Linked DNA regions of Nothobranchius furzeri. The main gene of each other region encodes a partner of the protein of the gene in region 2 in a complex. Links are inferred from orthologs where the notes say so. Each region holds a gene or a part of one and is shown on either strand. Other genes may lie near its edges. The genes, in order: smc2 and ncaph.

Region 1 (3,824 bases), on a different chromosome or scaffold from region 2:
GCCGTTGTCAGGTAAAGACTCTGCACTGTATTAGAATTTAAATCTGCCACCGCTATTGGCTAAGAGGTATGCTATGATGTAAACTGGTACATTATGATGTCACAATGCCGTTGTGAGCCTGTGTGTGTATTGGTTAGTGGCTCCGCCCTCTCTGTCTGCCAGGCAACAGCATTTGTTGCATTTTTCAAACATGAAGAGGGAGTTAAGTAAGTTTCTTGTAGGGGGTGACTTACTCTTTAACTGGCTGTTCAGACAGAGCAGACACAAACGGCTAATCTGACTCATTTCTAGAGATTAAAGCTTTGGAACACAAACAACCTGAGCTGTGTGAAGAACAGACCAGTTTAATCTGGAATAGGGCTGGGACGATAACCAGTAAATCATACGGCAGATGAAAATGAAGTACTCAATTTTTCCAGCCTCATATATCGAGGTTAAGAAAACTATTATTATTATTGAAGTGCAGTTTTGGGTTGCTGACACATTGTATGTACAGGTGCTGGCCAGTAAATTAGAATATCATCAAAAGGTTGAAAATATTTCAGTAATTCCATTCAAAACGTGAAACTTGTACATTATATTCATGCAATGCACACAGACCAATGTATTTCCAATGTTTATTACGTTTAATTTTGATATTTATAGGTGACAACCAATGAAAACATCAAATCTGGTATCTCAGAAAATTAGAATATTCTAAAGGCCAATGAAAAAATGTTTGTTTCTCTAATGTTGGCCAACTGAAAAGAATGAACATGAAAAGAATGTGCATGTATAGCACTCAATACTTAGTCGGGGCTCCTTTTGCCTCAATAACTGCAGTAATGCGGCGTGGCATGGACTCGATCAGTCTGTGGCACTGCTCAGGTGTTATGAGAGCCCAGGTTGCTCTGATAGTCGTCTTCAGCTCCTCTGCATTGTTGGGTCTAGCGTATTGCATCCTCCGCTTCACAATACCCCATAGATTTTCTATGGGGTTAAGGTCAGGCGAGTTTGCTGGCCAATCAAGGACAGGGATACCATGGTCCTTGAACCAGGTGCTGGTGGTTTTGGCACTGTGTGCAGGTGCCAAGTCCTGTTGAAAGGTGAAGTCTGCATCCCCATAAAGTTGGTCAGCAGCAGGAAGCATGAAGTGCTCTAAAACTTCCTGGTAGACGGCTGCATTGACCCTGGACCTCAGGAAACAGAGTGGGCCAACACCGGCAGATGACATGGCACCCCACACCATCACTGACGGTGGAAACTTTACACTGGACCTCATGCAACGTGGATTCTGTGCTTCTCCGCTCTTCCTCCAGACTCTGGGTCCTTGATTTCCAAAGGAAATGCAGAACTTGCTTTCATCAGAAAACATAACTTTGGACCACTCAGCATCAGTCCAGTCCTTTTTGTCCTTGGCCCAGGCGAGACGCTTCTTGCGCTGTTTCTTGTTCAAGAGTGGCTTGACACACGGAATGCGACACCTGAATCCCATGTCTTTCATGAGTCTCCTCGTGGTGGTTCTTGAAGCGCTGACTCCAGCTGCAGTCCACTCTTTGTGGATCTCCCCCACATTTTTGAATGGGTATGTCGTCACAATTCTCTGCAGGGTGCGGTTATCCCTAGAGCTTGTACACTTTTTTCTACCACATTTTTTCCGTCCCTTCGCCTGTCTGTTAATGTGCTTGGACACAGAGCTCTGCGAACAGCCAGCTTCTTTAGCAATCACCTTTTGTGTCTTGCCCTCCTTGTGCAAGGTGTCAATGATTGTCTTTTGGACAGCTGTTAAGTCAGAAGTCTTCCCCATGATTGTGGTGCCGTCAAAACAAGACTGAGGGACCTTTTAAAGGCCTTTGCAGGTGTTTTGAGTAAATCAGCTGATTAGAGTGGCAGCAGGTGTCTTCTATATTCAGCCTTTTCAGAATATTCTAATTTTTTGAGATACCAAAGTTGGAGTTTTCATTAGTTGTCACTTATGAATATCAAATTTAAATGTAATGAACATTGGAAATACATTGGTCTGTGTGCATTGCATGAATATAATGTACAAGTTTCACGTTTTGAATGGAATTACTGAAATATTTTCAACCTTTTGATGATATTCTAATTTACTGGCCAGCACCTGTATTGTTTTGAGAGAAAAAAAAAACGGTCTATTTTCATGTTTTTGGTGCAATATTTTCTAACTGAGTGAAATGGCGATATGATACGTATCGCGATACAGGGGAGACGATACAATATATCACAATATATTGCGATACATTCAGTCAGACGTTATTATTGATTTATTTATTGTAAGAAGATTCAATCAACAGTCCAAACTAATACTTAACGTCTTTAACACGAGGTATCTGAACCATAACAGATTTGTATTTCAACAGTGGAAACTAATCCCATTGCACACCATTGCCCACTGGTGGTCGGTGTTTGAATTGCACCAAAAGAAAAAAAATACACAAACGTTTACATGTCAATTCTTCCAGAAATTTGATAAACGGCTTTAAATATCGATATAATATCGCTGGAAAAAATATCACAACATATTGTCATATCAATATTTTCTTACAGCCCTAATTATTATGATATATTAACATTAAATAAGTTGTTTTGGTCTTGATAATGTCTACAATAATATTGTTAATCGTCAAATTTCTCTTTTGGACAATACAGTAAATCATCAAGCAAAATTTGTTATCGTCCCAGGTCTAATCTGGAGATGTTTCAAGAAGATCCAACCCTAACTTTAAATAAAGCAGGAAGTAGAACATAAAGTTTTAAATAAAATAAAGTAAAAAACATAAGTAACAGCACCAAGTAATAAATTAGAAAGAGTAACAGGATGCTGAACCATTATTAATTTTAATCCTCATGCAGAAATTTCATTTTTGCTTGTTTATCTTATTCAAAAACTTTCACATTTATCTGTGAGACAAAATGTCTACAAAAGCTATCCGTTTTCTAAATAGGATTGCCATCAGGAAGTTGATGACTTATTTCAACATCCTGCTTTGCATTCAGATAAAACCTTGCAGCTAATGGGTGCAGGTTAGCTTGAACAGAAATGTTTGGCTAATGATAGTCAGAATATTTTCATTGTTGAAGTGATCTACTAACAAAAACAACTGAATATGTTCGCAGTCACTGTGGAGTCAGACACACACACACACACACACCTTGTTCTGCGACACGGTGCAGGCCATGCTGTCTATCTGCTCTTGGATGGCCTTCGTGGCCTCGTCTACAGCCTGGATCTGCTGCTCGTAACCCGCCTGCTCCCGCTGCAGCTCCTCCAGCTCCAGAGCCACAGCATCAGACTCCTGAGCAAGAACACAGATCAGAGAATACTCAACATGTATCAAGACACGATGGACACCAGATCCTTCAGATGAGACTTTTTAAATATTCCACCATCACACCTGCTGTTTCTGCTTTAACTTGGTACTGAAGGCATCAGCTTTGGTCTTGGCTGCGTTGAGTTTCTGCTGGGCGGCCTTCAGCTCCTTCTCCCTCTCAGCCTCGGCGTTTCTCATTTTGTTCTCCAGCACCTTGTATTTCTCCTCGGCCCGCTTCTGGACCTCTTTGGTGACTCGTAAGGTCTCTTCGCTCTCCTCTGGTCAGACAAACACACACACATTTCTTTAGCACAAAACCATCCAGAGTATTTCAGCCAAGGAGAAAACTTTGAGCGCTAACCGATGGCTTTGCGAAGCCTCTCCAGCTCCTCTTGCTGCTGGTGGAAGGAGCTCTGCTGCACTTTAGCCAGCAGGATCTGTTCCTCCTCCGCTTTGAGCTCGTGCTCCTGCTTCAGCTGTCGGTACCTGCAGGGAGCGCATTATGACGGAGAG
Region 2 (3,824 bases):
AAGAAAATCTGAATCTTCTGCCGTTGACCTCCTCATTGGCCTTGTCTGATGATGATATCAGACATGTCGTCAACCTTCACCAGCTCCAAATTCTGTTACACACACACACACACACACACACACACGTGTAAGGTGCATTGTTGACGATGCGGTTGGAGTTAATTCAGGCCTTTGGTGTTCTGAGTTCTTCATGAGCAGATCTGTTGACCAGAGTGTGTGTTGGGTGTTATAGCACTCACCAGCAGCACACGCTGGACAGTCCAGCGGTCTGCTGTCCAAAGCGATAAAAATCCTCCATCAGCGCTTCACTGAACTAAAACTACAAGCTGCATCTCAGCTGGTTTTTGATAAAAATACAGAAGCTTGAACCCCTGTAGCTGACAGTGGGTTCTCACAAAGATCTCCGGCACCAAAGACAGAACTGATTATGTCAGAGTGCATCAATACTTTATTCTGGTGTGTGTATTGACCACCAGTCCACGTTTTAACAACCCTCACCTTCTCATTGGCCAGATGAAGCAGAGCTACAAACGCCAGCGGCACGGACAGGTTCTGAGCCAACATACTCGGCAATCTGGACCCAAACAATCAGACAGAGAAGAGAACAAATGTGGAAACATTAAGTTTTAACTTCCATGATTACAAGAGACGAGAAACACTCGTCAGTTCTTTGTGATTTTCACGCAGCACGAGGCTGCTGGTGGTCATTATTCCTCTTAAGCAGCAGCAACAGGAGGGAGGCTGCTACCTTTGAAGCAGGTTCTTCGTGGTCTGACTGAAGACTTTTTCTCCACACACTTCTGGTGCCTCTGCGGTCTCCTTCACCTGCTGAGAACATGAAGGCAGAACCGATAAAACAGACCTGAACCCACAGGATCAGCCGGACCTGCGCGGGGCCTCCACTCCCCTCCATCCTTCCAACTGAATGACCTTAACACGGAGTTACCTACCTCCGTCTGTTTCTCTGGACTTTCAGTCAGAAGAGTCCACATGCTGTTTTTGAGTCTCCTCATGTCCATTTTCTTTGCCATCTTGGCATAGTTGATTTCAATTTTGTTCACCTAAACAAGCAAAAACAGCTAATCAAATGTTTCCTGTTTCATTCAAGGGCAAAACTGTTATTAAATTAACATTTAACGAGGAGTAATCAGCAGCTTTGGTTTCTTCATTTACTATTTTCTTCTGTATTGAAGATATCACAGCTTTACCCACCCTGTGTGGTTCTGGTACCAGATCCTCCTCCCTGTATGTGGACACACCCGCTGGGTCTTCAGACGGCAATGGAATTCCCTCACCTGGAGGCGGAGCATCGCCTGAAGCAGCAAATGCATTCACATCATCATCGTCACTGTCACCGTCCTAAAAGAAGAGCCAGCCCATGGAGGCACATCTGTCACACCGGGTTCTGCACAAGCAGCAGGCATCAAACGGGAAAACCCAAATGCTGCTGCAGCAACCTCCCCGCAGGGACCAGCACATCATTTGACCATGTCACCAGGTCTGCTACAGTAAAGACTAAACTGACGAAAGGAATCAGAAGGCGAGCGTCAGACCTGGAGCCCTGGGCAGAAGTTGATGGTATCGTTGGCGTTGTTGTAATCATAATCACCGATGCCTTCTCCCAGCTCCCCAGACAGCCTCCGTTCACTCTCTTGACACAACTAATGTGGGACAGAAGAAACATAACTAGTGACATACCACCATCACAGGCCTACAGCAGCCCATCTGCTGTCTGGGATGCCAGAGAAGATTCCTGAAATGTTCTGGGAGAAAAAGCCTCTCCAGTTTCCACTGATGGTTATCCCCAACTCTGCATGCAAACACACACTGGTACCAGTACAGTGATCCCTCGCTACTTCGCGGTTCGTTTATCGCGGATTTTTTCTTTGGAGCCTTATTCAAGGGAAATTCGCCAATTCGCGGTATTTTTCTATGCGAAATATCAAGAAATTCCTGTTTTTTTTTTCATCAATTTCATCATAAAATGTACATTAAAGGGTGGTTTGTTAACAGTACTATGTAAAGGGAGGGTTTTAAAAGTCTGAATACTGTACGTACCTGTTAAATAAATACTGTAAATATGGTGTCCCTACTTGGCGGATGTTCACCTGTCGCGGCCAGGTCTGGAACGCATCTACCGCGGTAAACGAGGGATCACTGTACCATTTGTGGCAGAACCAAAGATGCACACCCGCCCTGCAGCAGGCTCTTAGGTGGACTTCCTAACACCATCATTTCTGGTGTTTACTTAGCCAGAACCAGCAGGTCTCACCGAGCTGGAGGGTTTGAGGCTGAGCTGGGACAGTGTCTCTGGGGGGAACTGGAAACTGGCCGGCAGAGTGGTTTTTTTGCTGCAGGCGCTGAGGGCTGATTTGCTGTTAGTGGTGGCTGCCTGTGAGGAGAAAGAGGAAATGTCAGCATTTCTTCTTTAAATCTGATACCAGTAATCATGCTTGTGGCTGACATGGCTACAGTCATCAGGACAGCAGCTGCATCACAGCCTGATGAAAAACACCAGATATCATCATCAAGAACAGAGTAAAGGCGTCTAAACTGTACAGGAAGTAAGAAGGGTCAAAGGTCTTTACCCGCGTGGTGCGGAAGAAAGTATCAAAGTCGACATCATCGTTAAAATCCATTTCATAGATCTTCTTAGGCTTCCTCTTGCGTGTCTCCTTGTCAGGCATGTGATCCACTGCAGCAGATGAGACATGGTTACTCCACACAGCTGTCTCCGATGGGAGAGCCGTTCATGACCCACAGAAGTAACCAGGACTACTCTTTACACACAGAGACAAACAGCAGACGTGTCCAGTGTCAAAGTAAAAGTGTATTTATGAGTGAATGTGTTGTCTCCACCTCTGTTAGCAGGGACGTGGTGTGTAAGGCTGCATTTACACTGAACGTGTCACGGCCCTAAAGAGACCCGCATGTGCAGAAGGCCGGATGTGCTTCGTTTACAGAAGTGCTACAGATGCTGTTCGTCTCCAGCTGTGTGGGAAATGCCAAACACACTTTAACTAATTAATTAGAGAAAGGACAATGAGAACAACAGCCTTCAGTGGAGCTGCAGCTGTCGCTGTGCTGAGGTGTGGCGGGGTTCTCATTCATCCACAACAGACCCCTGAATAACTGCCAGCTCCTCCACTGAAGAATGCAAACACACGATTCTCATGGTCACCGGGTCAGTGACGTATGATGGATGTAACGTTCAGGCTCGTCACTTTCAAAAACATCAGATGCAGGACCACACATGAAAGTGACCTGGGTCAGGTCTGTACTGTTCAGACGGTCATGAACACACACGGACGGCTCACACGTGGGGAGAAAACTAAGATGCACTTTTGCCTGCAGAGTGTAAGTGTGTGTGTGTGTGTGTGAGGGGGGCATCCTGGACAGGTCTCCAGTCTCTCACAGAGACACTCAGACACAGGTATCCACTCACTCCTAGGGGCAGTGTAGAGTCTCCAGGTAACCTAATTGTTTTGGGTCTGTGGGAGGAACCCGGGGAATCCACAGAGACAGAGAACATGCTGACTCCACACAGAAATGCTGCAGCTGGGAGTCGAACCTGTGACCTTTTCACTGTGAGGCATCAGCGCTACCATACAGTCCATCACTTTTTACTACTGAGCTAGCTGAATTAAATACTTAAGCTTCAAGATCCTGATGTGAAGTGCAGAAACTTCTGACATCCAGATCTTCTGAAAAATGTACAGGAAGTGTCAGATCGGCCGTGTGTGTGTGTGTGTGTGTGTGTGTGTGTGTGTGTGTGTGTGTGTGTGTGTGTGAGAGATAAGCACACAGAACAGAAGAGCTCAGGT

What was found.
Region 1: ncaph (region 2) and smc2 share a complex: the UniProt entries of both Homo sapiens proteins name them as parts of the condensin complex. The link is inferred for Nothobranchius furzeri from reciprocal best matches to the Homo sapiens genes NCAPH and SMC2.

Annotation. Positions count from the first base shown.
Region 1 is NC_091747.1:76,184,711-76,188,534, reverse strand, and holds part of smc2 (structural maintenance of chromosomes protein 2), read right to left. Parts: intron 3,798-3,824; coding exon 3,673-3,797; intron 3,590-3,672; coding exon 3,396-3,589; intron 3,297-3,395; coding exon 3,153-3,296; intron 1-3,152. UniProt on the Homo sapiens protein: Central component of the condensin complex, a complex required for conversion of interphase chromatin into mitotic-like condense chromosomes.
Region 2 is NC_091757.1:27,697,150-27,700,973, reverse strand, and holds part of ncaph (condensin complex subunit 2), read right to left. Parts: intron 2,696-3,824; coding exon 2,589-2,695; intron 2,393-2,588; coding exon 2,273-2,392; intron 1,662-2,272; coding exon 1,554-1,661; intron 1,360-1,553; coding exon 1,213-1,359; intron 1,062-1,212; coding exon 951-1,061; intron 829-950; coding exon 749-828; intron 575-748; coding exon 499-574; intron 93-498; coding exon 33-92; 3' UTR 1-32. UniProt on the Homo sapiens protein: Regulatory subunit of the condensin complex, a complex required for conversion of interphase chromatin into mitotic-like condense chromosomes.